3 linked regions of the Nothobranchius furzeri genome follow. The protein of the gene in region 2 purifies or fractionates together with the protein of the main gene of each other region. This does not show direct contact. Links are inferred from orthologs where the notes say so. Each region holds a gene or a part of one and is shown on either strand. Other genes may lie near its edges.

Evidence for each region. The genes of interacting proteins can lie anywhere in the genome.
Region 1: the proteins of ehmt2 (region 2) and cbx5 purify together in Homo sapiens (affinity purification with mass spectrometry; 3 studies listed by BioGRID and IntAct, with this or other methods). This does not show direct contact. The link is inferred for Nothobranchius furzeri from reciprocal best matches to the Homo sapiens genes EHMT2 and CBX5.
Region 3: the proteins of ehmt2 (region 2) and znf644a purify together in Homo sapiens (affinity purification with mass spectrometry; 3 studies listed by BioGRID and IntAct, with this or other methods). This does not show direct contact. The link is inferred for Nothobranchius furzeri from reciprocal best matches to the Homo sapiens genes EHMT2 and ZNF644.

What each region holds. Positions count from the first base shown.
Region 1 is NC_091755.1:25,772,033-25,776,460, forward strand, and holds the start of cbx5 (chromobox protein homolog 5), read left to right. Parts: upstream 1-1,589; 5' UTR 1,590-1,727; intron 1,728-2,197; 5' UTR 2,198-2,249; coding exon 2,250-2,377; intron 2,378-2,593; coding exon 2,594-2,834; intron 2,835-3,842; coding exon 3,843-3,943; intron 3,944-4,428. Other genes in the region: heterogeneous nuclear ribonucleoprotein A1, read right to left, coding at 38-154, 630-641. UniProt on the Homo sapiens protein: Component of heterochromatin that recognizes and binds histone H3 tails methylated at 'Lys-9' (H3K9me), leading to epigenetic repression. In contrast, it is excluded from chromatin when 'Tyr-41' of histone H3 is phosphorylated (H3Y41ph).
Region 2 is NC_091759.1:8,520,655-8,524,302, reverse strand, and holds part of ehmt2 (histone-lysine N-methyltransferase EHMT2), read right to left. Parts: intron 3,206-3,648; coding exon 3,085-3,205; intron 2,694-3,084; coding exon 2,613-2,693; intron 1,824-2,612; coding exon 1,684-1,823; intron 1,484-1,683; coding exon 1,340-1,483; intron 1,258-1,339; coding exon 947-1,257; intron 1-946. UniProt on the Homo sapiens protein: Histone methyltransferase that specifically mono- and dimethylates 'Lys-9' of histone H3 (H3K9me1 and H3K9me2, respectively) in euchromatin.
Region 3 is NC_091751.1:71,531,684-71,535,827, reverse strand, and holds the start of znf644a (zinc finger protein 644a), read left to right. Parts: upstream 1-1,305; 5' UTR 1,306-1,444; exon of another isoform or gene 1,445-1,505; intron 1,506-4,144. Other genes in the region: probable ATP-dependent DNA helicase HFM1, read right to left, coding at 56-126.

The sequences.
Region 1 (4,428 bases), on a different chromosome or scaffold from region 2:
ACATTACATTTAAAAAGAGACATAAAGGTATGCGTACCACGCAATCTGTAAGGCTGCCCCATTGTTCAAAATGAGCCCGTAGGCTCTCGTCTGTTGTCTCGAAGCTCAGGCCTCCGATGAACAGCTTGCGGAGCTGCTCCGGCTCACGTGGAACCTGCACAAAAATATTTGCGTCATAGGAGAAGCAATGCACAATATAGTTCCGCATAATAATATTGTCGGTGGACCATTTATATCAAACTCTGCGTCTTTGATCAAAAATCAGGGATAGGGTGGAGAAGGCGCACCGCCGCCATTACAGTTTAGGAACCGCTCAGACTAAAGTCAAAGAACTCCTTCTTTCAAAGAGCCAACACACAATTAATATGTACTCACTGTCGTTTAATGTGTTAGGGATATAATCGTTTAAGACTGGTGTTGAAGAGAAGCCACTGATGTCCTTTACAGATCATCATCAGAACAAAAGGCCACGAGGCTCAGCTTCTATAAAATGGCGGCTTCAAGAAAGCTCTGCAGCTACGGCACACAGTCCGTCGACAACACCAAGTATGGCCAACCTATAATAAAACTACCCAAAACCAAACTATTAATCTTACGGCCTGATATCCTTTGATAAGTTTAGCACTCACCTCTTTAGACATTTTGCCGCTTTATCCTTGACGACTCCTTGAGAACCGACCGCAGAGGAACTAGCTGCGTCAGACAAGACCAGCGACAGGGTGAACGTACAAGAAATAGGAACGGAAACGCCTCTTCCCCTCAGCGATTGGTCTGTAGTTCCCGCGGTACTGTGTCGTCAATCAGAACTGTATTTTGATTGGTCTAAATTTTGTCAATCAATGCGAACAACCATTCACTGCGTAGTAGGCATTCGCCTTTGTCGACCATGAAGAAAAATGGCCGACCTAAATTACATAAAGCCAAAAATGAATGTGCCTTCATCTATAAACAAATTATCTGAATTGACAGAGAAATTGAATGCTCACATTTAAAAGGTGCTGAAAAAACGACTTATTAACTTTTTTCTACGAAACGAGCCTAAGAAAGACAATAAACAATATAAAAGATAGACAAATTGCCGTCTGGCTAAACAACACGGGAAATATCATTCGCATGTTGGTACACAAGATGTCCCGTAATCAAACAAACCGATGCAAAATGTACAACTCTTGAAGAGTTTATGCTAAAGTATAATTTAAAATGAGCCAAATTAGTTAATCTGGGCTTTGTGTGTGGTGACTAAAGGGGGAAAATAACATGAACATAGAGAAATAAATAAATGCAGCAAGATTTAAACGAAAAATATATGAAAACATAAATTACTACAACAAAGTAGACGTATATATATTAATTTCTTTATTTTCAGTCAAATAATTGTAACCCTTTATGCTGTGTTTTTTTTTATTTTGTATTATCGTGTATACTTATTTTGTAAATTATTGTGACTGCAAGTTACTACAATTTTATAAACCGAACGTTAACGTTATAGAAAAGTTAAAATTTAGTAGGAAGGAACGTGTTTTCTAAACATTTATTATGTCACCAGCAGACTGGGGGCGGGTATGTTCATTGTGCGTTTTTAACGCGCGCTTTTTGCGCACGGCACCTTTATGTGCTACAGGCTAGATGCTAACGCTGGTGCTGCATTAGCTGCACTGCTGCCTCTAGATAAACGGAGCAGTCCCTGCGACCAGCGGCCTACATCCAGTGGGTTATACACTCCGAGGGTAAGAAACTGCGTTTTTGTAAATGTGCTTTACGCTGTTGCAAGTATCGGGTAGTTGTTTGATAAGTAAATTAGCGAGTATAGCATAGCTTTAGCACGTAAGCTAGCTCCTTTGGCTAGTTTGGGGTTAGTTAGCAGGACAAATCCCTTGGTCTTCATTGAACTGTGTGCTTTGTTCGTTTTCTGTGAGTGCAGTCTGGTCGCATATAACTATTTCAAACGGGCATATGTCGAGAAATGCACATGTATGGCCATTATATTAGCAGTTTTCCCATGCTTATCGTTCTGCTAGTGGGAAGAACGAGATTAAATGAAGATATTCATTGATGCACGGTAACCACGTTGTGTGGCTAACGCTCATGGTTGCAAACCTGCAGCTTGAGCTTAAATTTATGTGTTTACATGTGGACGAGCGCTGAGAAAAAATGGCATGTTTTGTGAGATGCTTGTTTGTGATTTCGTCGTGAACAGGAAAGTGCCATCGAACTCTAAAAGAGTGTAGTGTGAAGCACCCAACTCCGAGATGGGCAAAAAGTCACGTGAAGAGGAGTCCTCATCTGATGAAGAAGAGTATGTTGTGGAGAAGGTGCTGGACAGGAGGGTGGTGAAAGGCAGGGTGGAGTTCTTCCTTAAGTGGAAAGGATACTCTGAGTAAGTACCAAGTACCTGTTTACTGGTCAGTGACTTGATATTCCCGTTTTACACACACACACACACACACACACACACACACACACACACACACACACACACACACACACACACACACAGCACAAAAAGCATCAGTGAAGCTGGTTTGAGCACACAATATTACCCTTTTAAAAATGAACGTGACATTTCAATGACTTGTGCTGTGATTTTCTGCAGCAAGCACAACACATGGGAGCCAGAGAAGAATCTAGACTGCCCTGAGCTTATTTCAGAGTTCATGAAGACCTATAAGAAAAGCAGCAGCAGCGGTGGTAGTTCGACACCTAGCAGCGGGGCCAGTAAATCAAGCACAGGCTCATCTGGACGCACTAAAGATCCCAGCAGCTTAAAAAAGAAGGGCTCTGATGAAGAGGAGGAAGAAGAGGAAGGAGGAAGTAAGCCAAAGAAGAAGAAAGAGGTAAATTATCTTCATTATAGGTGAATTTCATTGACTACGTTTACATGCAGCCAATATCCGGGTTATGATCGGGTTAAGGTCGGTATTCGGGTTTCTGAGTTGATCAGAATAACCCGTTTACAAGCCCGTTTACAATAAATAGAAAGAGTTACCCCTAACTTGCATAACCCGATTTAAATGCGGACGGTGGGGTAGCGTCAAGACATATGGACTACGTCCAGACGCAATATGCCTCATTTCCGGTTCTTCTTGTTCCGGTATCCGTGAAAACAACAACACGTTTCCCAGTTCGGAAGAGACGGCGACCGCGTTTGTTTGTGCTTTAGTTTCTTCGTCACTGCGAAAGTGTGGTGCTGTGCCGCGACTCGCCATGTTGCTCCCAACTTGTTGTTTACTTCCGGTGTTCTGGCGCATACAAGACGTCTCGCTACTCAAAAGACCAAGATTCCTTGCGAACAGAGCATGTGCAGAACACACGCTTTGATGGGGATATCCCGGTATGCGTTTACACGACCAAACATTCGGGTTAGAAAAGGGTTACGCCAGGTGTAGTAACCGGGTTTTTAAAAACCCGGTTATGAGCATATCCAGGTTTTTGGCGGTGTTTACAAGGACCTGCGGAACCGGGTTATTGTGAATATTCGGGTTTTAAAAGGGTTACTGGCTGCATGTAAACGCACTCATTCTGATATGAATCATTTGTATGCGTGGGAGCATTTGTACTTAGCTCTTCTGAACTGATTTCTGTAAAGACTGTTTATATTTTAGCTAAATGTTGTAAAATGTATAATTTTGAGATGAAAATGATAAATTGTTTTTTTGAATTACCAATAATGCATTAACTTATGGGCAGGTGATGGGCAACACCTATACTTATTAAATAATATAAGTTATATCTAGATTTGACCTGTGTTTAGAATTGCTGAATTTATGGCCAATGAAATAGCCCTTTGGCAAATATTCAGCTGGCATTTTTAATTTTTTATTTTTTATTTTTTTACATTTCAGGATGAGATCCTAGTTGCACGTGGCTTTGAGAGGGGCCTAGAGCCAGAGAAGATCATTGGGGCAACCGACTCGTGTGGAGACCTCATGTTTCTAATGAAGTGGTAAGTTTTACTGGTAGACTCATTTTGGGAGATCTTCATTCTGTTATAATGACAATGCACTTACTTTTATGCACTTTGGTAATCATAATGCACCCATTTCGTAGTAAAACAAAATTTTCCTCAGACATAAACATTAGAAGCTAACCTAGCACAGGGGGGACTAACAGGCCTTTGTAGAGCTTGGTGACCTGCTGAACAGGTAATTCAACCATTCAGGTGTATTGCAGCAGTGAGATGACTAAAACATGCTGGGTATGGGGATCTCAGACACACTTGATCTAAGAGGACTACTATTCATTCTCGTATGACAAAGAAATATGCTTAAGTATTATAAAGTACTTACATTTTCAACTATTAAATGTCTAAAACAGAACTGGTTAAACGGTGCAGAATTGTTGCACCAGAGCACAGCACGATGTCCTATCATGAGCTTAAATGTCTAACAACCTGAATCTTTAACACCACATTACTACTGGCAAATCATT
Region 2 (3,648 bases):
AAGTGGTATCTAAATTAGATATTCCATCCCTGTGGTATCGATATTATGGACTATTATACACAGCCTTCTTCAAGTACACCGACACGCACGACAGCCAGATGCCGTAAAGCAGCCTCCGCCTCCCAGACAAACAGAAGAAGAAGACGCCGCATGGCTACATTGCAATTTCCAACGCGAGTTGTCTCCGATCCAAGTTTTGTCTGCCAAATAAATAAACAAAAACATAAACAGCGAATTTGGGAGGCGTTTCACAGCCCAACTTCATTAGCATACCAAGTCCGACACGTAGTTGTATATTCACGCTTATGTGCTTAAAGGAAACTCCCGTTTATTGCAACCCGGACTTCATTTCTAGCATGCAGTACGTTTGTTTACTCACGCTGACAACTTTGGTGCTACTTGGATTCCCCGGGGTATTTAGATCCATCGGCGAATCGCCATCAGCGTATATCCATATAACGGGTGCGGACGGGCACCCATGGTGTAGCCTCGAAATGAGACATTATCTGCACCAAAACATCTCAATGTCGAAAGTTTTTTTTAGGAATAATTAACGTGATTCCCCTGTTCGTTTGGAGCGGGTCTGGGATTTCTAGGCGTGAACAGACTAGCCGCGGCTAATCTAACCGGCGCTTTTAATGACGTCACTGCCGTGCGCCAATCTGTTTTTATTAAGATTACCGGTAGATGTACCTTTGTCCTACTGTGTATCGAGTATCGAGTCCCCCCCCCCCCCCCCCCCCCAGTATCGAATCGAGTTTGAAATTTTAGTATCGTGACAACCCTAGTTTCGGCACAAACCTCCTTAAACCAAACGCGGACAGAAAACTGATGGATGTTTTTTTCATGTTTGGAGTGTTTAAGTCAATAGACCCGCATGGCAGCACAAATGGAATCAAAATGTGAGTTTTGCTAAATGAACAACCGTCCAATGATCTGATCTTACCTAATAGGTCGTTCAGGGATCTTTCCATCCTTCGCTCCTCCTGTTGAGGCAGAGAGAGAGGGAGCCATCGGGACCGACGGAGGAAGAGAGGGAGTCGTGGTGGAGGAGGCCGACATGGTGACGACGGTGGTCGCGGAAGCCGAGGAGGGGATGGTGATCTCCTGCGCCTCAGAGGCATCTTCGCCACAGTGAGGACAGAAAAGCATGCCGCCGCCATTCGCTCTGCTGCGCCCACCGCTCAGCACCGTCACGCAGCCGCGGTGGAAACGGTGAGCGATGCGCTGGTCTGGGCAGCATTCCAGAAAAGTGCCCTGAAAACAAAAAGGAAGTAACATATGAAAGAGAAAACTTGGAGAAATAGAAAGAGAGCAAACATCAAGCGAGAACACTGACAGCGATGCAGAAGTATCCACAGCCGGGGCAGCAGTGGTGTTTGACCATGTGAGAGCGATGGACATCACAGAGCACCATGAGTGGGACCCGACTGGACGGCCTCATGGTTTCCCATTTAATGGTCCAGCTGGTGCACGCTTGCAGCTAACAAGCAGAAATATGAATACGTTTTAAACCCTTTAGACAAAATCTGAGACTTCTAGCTTCTCTACGATTGTAGCACAGGTAGCAGTTTATCTGGAATTTTAGGCAGATTCTCACTGGTTTTGCCTTTACACCCTCACACGGAGGACTGGACATCCAGGGAGCTGCTAGTTAACGCAAACGGGTAAACACAGACCAACCTCTCCGTTGATGCTCTCTGTGGCCATGCACTGTCTGCTGCCCCGCTGGCTGGTGCTGTCCACACGGGGAGCCTCCATCCTGCAGCTGCACAAGGGGAGCTCCTCCAGACGCTCCAGGTCGCCGGCATCGCTTCCCTCTGCTGGACAGGAAGGCGACGGACGTTAGCTTCAAACAGCTTAATCACACTGAAGCATCTTTTCTTGCCTGCTGGTGGTGGTCGGAGGGACCGCTGGTGCCAGTGCTCAGCAGCCTTGCCTCTATCGGGGCAGCTGTAGCTACATTGTAGCTCATCCCACCAGTGTGTGAAAGTGCGTGTGAATGGGTGAATGACTGTGTTGTGAAGTGCCTTGGGGGGGGGTTGTAGAACCCTAAGAAGGTGCTATACAGGATATCTGCAGGTTTAAGGGAGCCAAATTTAAGACTTTTAAGACCTTTTTTAAGACCACTTTGACCAAATTTAAGCTATTTTCAAAATTAAATTTAAGCTATAATTTCCAACTATTGCCTGGAACCGGTTGTGAACGTGGGATTAACCATCCAGTTACCATTAAACTTGCACTTCCCATGGCGCAAGCTCCCACTAGCTTAACCAGCTAATGTGCTCATCTAAAAATAGCCCCCTTTCACAACCAACTGAATGTGTACGGTTCCGCTTACGCCAACATCGTACACAAAAAATGCTGAACACCAACTAGGAATTCACGAAAATTTTTATAGAAATAAAATAATCTTGTTTATTGGGTCTTTGGTAATTTAAGACCTTTGGAAACTGGATTTAAGTATTATTTGTCATTTTTAAGGATTTTCAAGGCCTTAAATTTGGAAAAGCAAATTTAAGACTTTTTAAGGACCCGCGGATACCCTGCTATACAAATATAGGCCATTTACCACTTTTCTTAAAAGGAACAACGAGATGAGACTTAGTTACCGGTAGGAGAAAGAGTCAGACTGTCAGCTGCAGCAATGTCCAAAGCACCCAAAGGAACCTCCGTGTACTCTCCAGACCTTTCTGCTGAGGAGGAACTAAATTATAAAACTGGCGAGGAAAGCTGCAGATGCAACATAATCTGTGCAAGCGCCTCAACGGTTTTAAGGTGTTACCAGCTGAATGGGTGGAACATCATAAAGGCCTAAAATGTAGGCAGTAGTCATTTTCTTACAACTCTGTCTGGATAATAGATTCTATTTCTGAAACATACTTAAGGACTTTACTGTAAAAAAAATGTGTCGCCTCTAACCCTACAGGTCATTTATCAGAGTTTACAGACATGAAGAGCACTACGATGACGTCTCACACACACCAGTTAAACACATGTAGATCCAGATGTGACGGCCAAATTTTCGTTATAATAAAATGAAATCTTTTTTTAAAAGGACTAAATGTAACGTCGATCACTTGCCTTCTTCTATTTCCACTAAATCAGCAGAGTTTCCGTCTCGGTCTTGATCCGATAGCAGCCAAGAAGATTCTTCCGTCTCGTTCCTACTCCGGATGATTCTCAGCGTTTCAGACTCCAAACTCTGCAAAGCAGAAACTTTGTATTTATGCCTGAAACTAGGATTTATTGCAAAGAAACTGAACACGTTTTGACACCTTCTAGCCACAAACTACGTTTTTTATTGATGTTTTCTGCAATAGACCAACACAAAGTAGAATCTTACCGACATACTCAACATTTTATATAAAAAAAAAAACTGAATCTGACTATTTAGTTGAGTTTTTCCAAGTATAGCTTCAACAAATGTTTTTCAATTTAACTTTGATTTCTGGAAGTTATCTCCCGGTGAAGCTCCTGGTGATTCTCAGTGAGGTCCCAACTCCAGATTTGGGAATTACTTCCCAAAACAAATCCTGGCAAACGGGAATTTTTTTTACATTTTTGCCAACAACGGCTTTAATCTTTCCACTCTTTCACACGGTGGGTGAAGAACAGAATCAGCCCCTTTGGAGGACTAATTTTGTT
Region 3 (4,144 bases), on a different chromosome or scaffold from region 2:
AAAATTTATTTAATTGGAATTTAAAAACAATGTTTTTTCCACTGCTTGTACTTACACCTTGTGAATAGTAGGTTTCTCGAAAAACAATCTGTCCAGGGTCAAAGTGCAGTCATCTGTGTCCATCATCTCTTAAGAGAAGCTCCTCAGTTAGAGCACAAAATCAAATCAGTCAACTTGAATCTTGTGGAGCAACATCTGACTACAGGAACAAAGTGAATTCTAAATTAATCTCCCATGATCTTTCAGTGTAAATCCAACCCTCTCAACAAAGCAATTACATCATCATTAGGAAGTGGGTGAATTGTTGCTGTTAGATGTATTAAACTATATCCACTGTTTAATGTTTGCATGCACAGCCTACCTTTAGGTTTTAAACAGGTGTTACATTTAGAAAAGTGACTGATAGGACAAAGCTGTAAAAACTGTTAAATTTGTGGTTAAAGAGGGCAAATTATGACGTAAATGTTTTCAATAAAAAATCGTTCACAACTAGTTTTTACCAAGCTTTGATAGCTTTATGCTAGTGACCAAAAGCTAACAACACAAATATCGAGCGTTTTTAGCAGTTTGACTATATGGTAATTCGGCAGAGCTATTTTATAAGTTATCTTTGTGAACTTACCTAATAAGCAAGTTTATAACACACTGTTCTGTAAATTAAGTTGAATGCTTTACCCAACTACATTTGATAGTTAAGCTAATTTGGCTAAAGCAAACAGCTCGAGACTGCTGACCTCATAAATCTGTAATAACTTTATTTAAACGTGCTCATTTTGACAGACAAGTGTGTGTTCAGTCAGACAGCCCACTGGCTACAACTTGCTATAGAAAACTGCCTAAAGCAGGTTGATTCAAGGAATATTTTAAAGAGTATTTAAACAGGCCGTGTTTTCCCGGTAAAAAAAAAAACGCCAGATGGGGTTAAAAAGGAAAATTACCGGTCACAAAAGCAACAAAGCCTGGGCTCCATCAACATTTATCCCCTCATTCCCGTCTACATCTTACTGACAAACTATAAACGACAACAACTGTTTGTTTGCATCTGAAATGTCCAAACCAAATTGCATCTTAACGCTCATTGTATGTTATTCATTTTAACGATGATTATCCGCCATCATATAAAAAATCTGCTGGCCAAAAGAAATGGTCATTAGCTCTGAATTTTATGCCTCCTATCTGGAATGAACCATTACTGGGTTTTCAGGGGAGCATCATGGCGCCGCCGCGTCACAATACGTAGCGAAATGTTCATAAGAGGTTAGTCCTGTAACTTGTCAACAGCGGCTATCTTTGTAAAGAGCCTCAATATTTTAGACCGTAATTTTGGAGGCTGTTTGTTTTGTAGCAGCGGGGTTAACTGGACGTGTGACACCCTTACAAAATGATCTGTCCCACACCAGACCACCACGGAAAATGGCGACTGTGAAATAGATGGAAGACGAAAGTAAGAAAATATTAAATGCAGCGTTTAACTTCTCATCTGCTTTCATCCACACTGCTCGGAGGTAACGTTGGTTTGTTTACTGTCGTGTTACTAACATGTGAATAGCAAAAACGCGAGGGATTGTTGTCGTTAGCTCTAGTTTAGCCTTAGGAAAAGGTTTTGATGTGGAACAGCCTTAATGGAATAGTCTGCAGATCCTGCAAGCAGCATCCAACAACACAGCGTGTTTTAAACGTGGAAGAGAAGCTAATATACCAACCAAGCGCAACTGTTTAGGTCAGCCTTGCTCTGAAAGTAGTTCCATGTCATAGTACATCCTAACTATAGTGAGTCGACTGAACTCTTCCTGAGCTGAAAGTTTTAGCTGTGTACAAAATTCACCAGCGCTCATAAAAAGCCATTTTCAGTGTCCATTCTTTAGCAGATTTAGTGCTGCTGCTCCAGGGGTACACCGCTTCAGCTGGCATGACACTTTTAATGTCCTTCAAATTCAAGACCCCTCACTCCATCGACCTTGTAGGTTTATAATAGGCCATAAATAAACAAAAGTCGGTTCTATTTTGCATTGGCTTCAGGCGTTCTGTTGGTGATAAACACGTATTAGTCTAAGAATTACCTCAGAAGCTTCAACCACAGATCACTTAATCAAAATGCACATTTTATTTTGCAAGAGCATTCAAAATAGTATTAATGTGGCAGGGTGGAAAGGCGAGGGCCCGGGTGGGATTCGATCCCCAGACTCCCGGGTGAGAGTCATACGCTCTGGCCAGTCAGCCAAAGGGACATCCCCTTGGCCAAGTAGCCAGGGTGCATGATCAATTGGGACACTGTGACAGGATGCTCACACTGCCACATTAAGTAAAAAAATTCAAGAAATTATAAACTAAATATATCCTTTTCGTTTTTGTTATAGCAACATAAAATATAAATGGGAATTAAAGCTGCAAGCAGCGTCGTTCGCCCTCGCAGCTCCGCGCTGCTCCGGCCTGGCCGGCAGCCCGGCGCACCAGGGCACGTCCGCGGAACAGAAACAACAGCCACCCCGACACCAGAAACCGCTAACGATCACCTCTTCCACACCTCACCCTGACTCAGCATCCCCTCTGAGCCCACCATTATATTACACGTCTCACCAATAGGGCAAACTCTATCTTTACAACACGGGTGGTGTGATGACACAGACCACCTGTAATGCTTTTCTGGCCACGTTTTTTGAAGTTATTGTAGGTTAAAGTTATCTAGGGTGTGCTGTGACCAACTACAGAAAAATCCCATTGAGGTCAGCTTTGGTTGACAAGATGTTTTTCTGTTCATTTGGCATCAATCGGACAAAGCGTGTTTTGGGGCAGAGTTTTAATGAATCTAGCGATCGACGGTGGCACAGGAGTTAAGTGCTCGCCCCGTAATCGGAAGGTTGCAGGTTCGAGCCCCGCTCAGTCTGTCGCTGTGTCCTTGGGCAAGACACTTAACCCACGTTGCCTGCTGGTGGTGGTCGGAGGGACTGGTGGCGCCAGTGCTCAGCAGCCTCGCCTCTGTCAGTGCGCCCCAGGGCAGCTGTGGCTACATTGTAGCTCACCCCCACCAGTGTGTGAATGTGTGTGTGAATGGGTGAATGACTGAATGTGTTGTAAAGCGCCTTGGGGGGTTTCAAGAACTCTAGAAGGCGCTATATCAAATACAGGCCATTTACCATATTTAAGGAAATAGGCCACGCCCACAAACTTCAGCTGTCTTTATCTCTTGGGGGTCAGACTAGGATCACTCACCAGAAGTTTCGTAGCGATATTACGATAACTGAAGAAATGAGAGGCAAAGGTATTTCCATGGCGTGATGGCGATTTTCGCCATGCTCCCAAAGCCCCGCCCTTTTTTGAAACCTGCCAGTACTGGATACCAAGTGACCTCACGTTGTCTACTGCTATTAGCCAGAGATTCCTGGTGATTGGGTAAAAGGAGTTCAGTAGGGAGCTGTGAAAAAAAGAGTGGCGTGGTGACAGGTCAAAGTTTGAGGCTTAGCCACGCCCGTACCTTTCAACTTTTGAAAAATCCGACTGTTGAATTTTTTCCTCTATGTCTTAAGAGTATATAGCAGAAGTTTGAAGGCCATTGGTGAAAAGGGCGACGGAGCATCACTCTCCAAACAACGTGTGCGAAAACCACTAAATCGCGTACTTGGACCAAAATGGCCGACTTCCTGTGCGACTTTGCACATGGCTCCAAGATACTTTTTTGTAGGTCCTGAGACACCACATTAGTGTACCAAATTTCGTAATCCTCAGTCAAAGCATGGCTTGGGGCTGACAGTTTTAATGGTCGTAGGGGGCGCTATTTAAGAAAATAGGCCACGCCCACAAATTTCAGCTGTCTATTTCTCTTGGGGGTCAGACTAGGATCACTCACCAGAAGTTCCGTAGCGATATCACGATAACTGAAGAAATGAGAGGCAAACGTATTTCCATGGCGTGATGGCGATTTTCGCCATGCTCCCAAAGCCCCGCCTTTTTTTGAAACCTGCCAGTACTGGACACCAAGTGACCTCAAGTTGTCTACTGCTATTTAACAGAGATTCCTGCTGATTGGGTAAAAGGAGTCCAGTAGGGAGCTGTGAAAAAAAGAGTGGCGTGGCGCCAGGTCAAAGTTTGAGGCTTAGCCACGCCCACACCTTTCAACTTTTGAAAAATCCGACTGTTGAATTTTTTC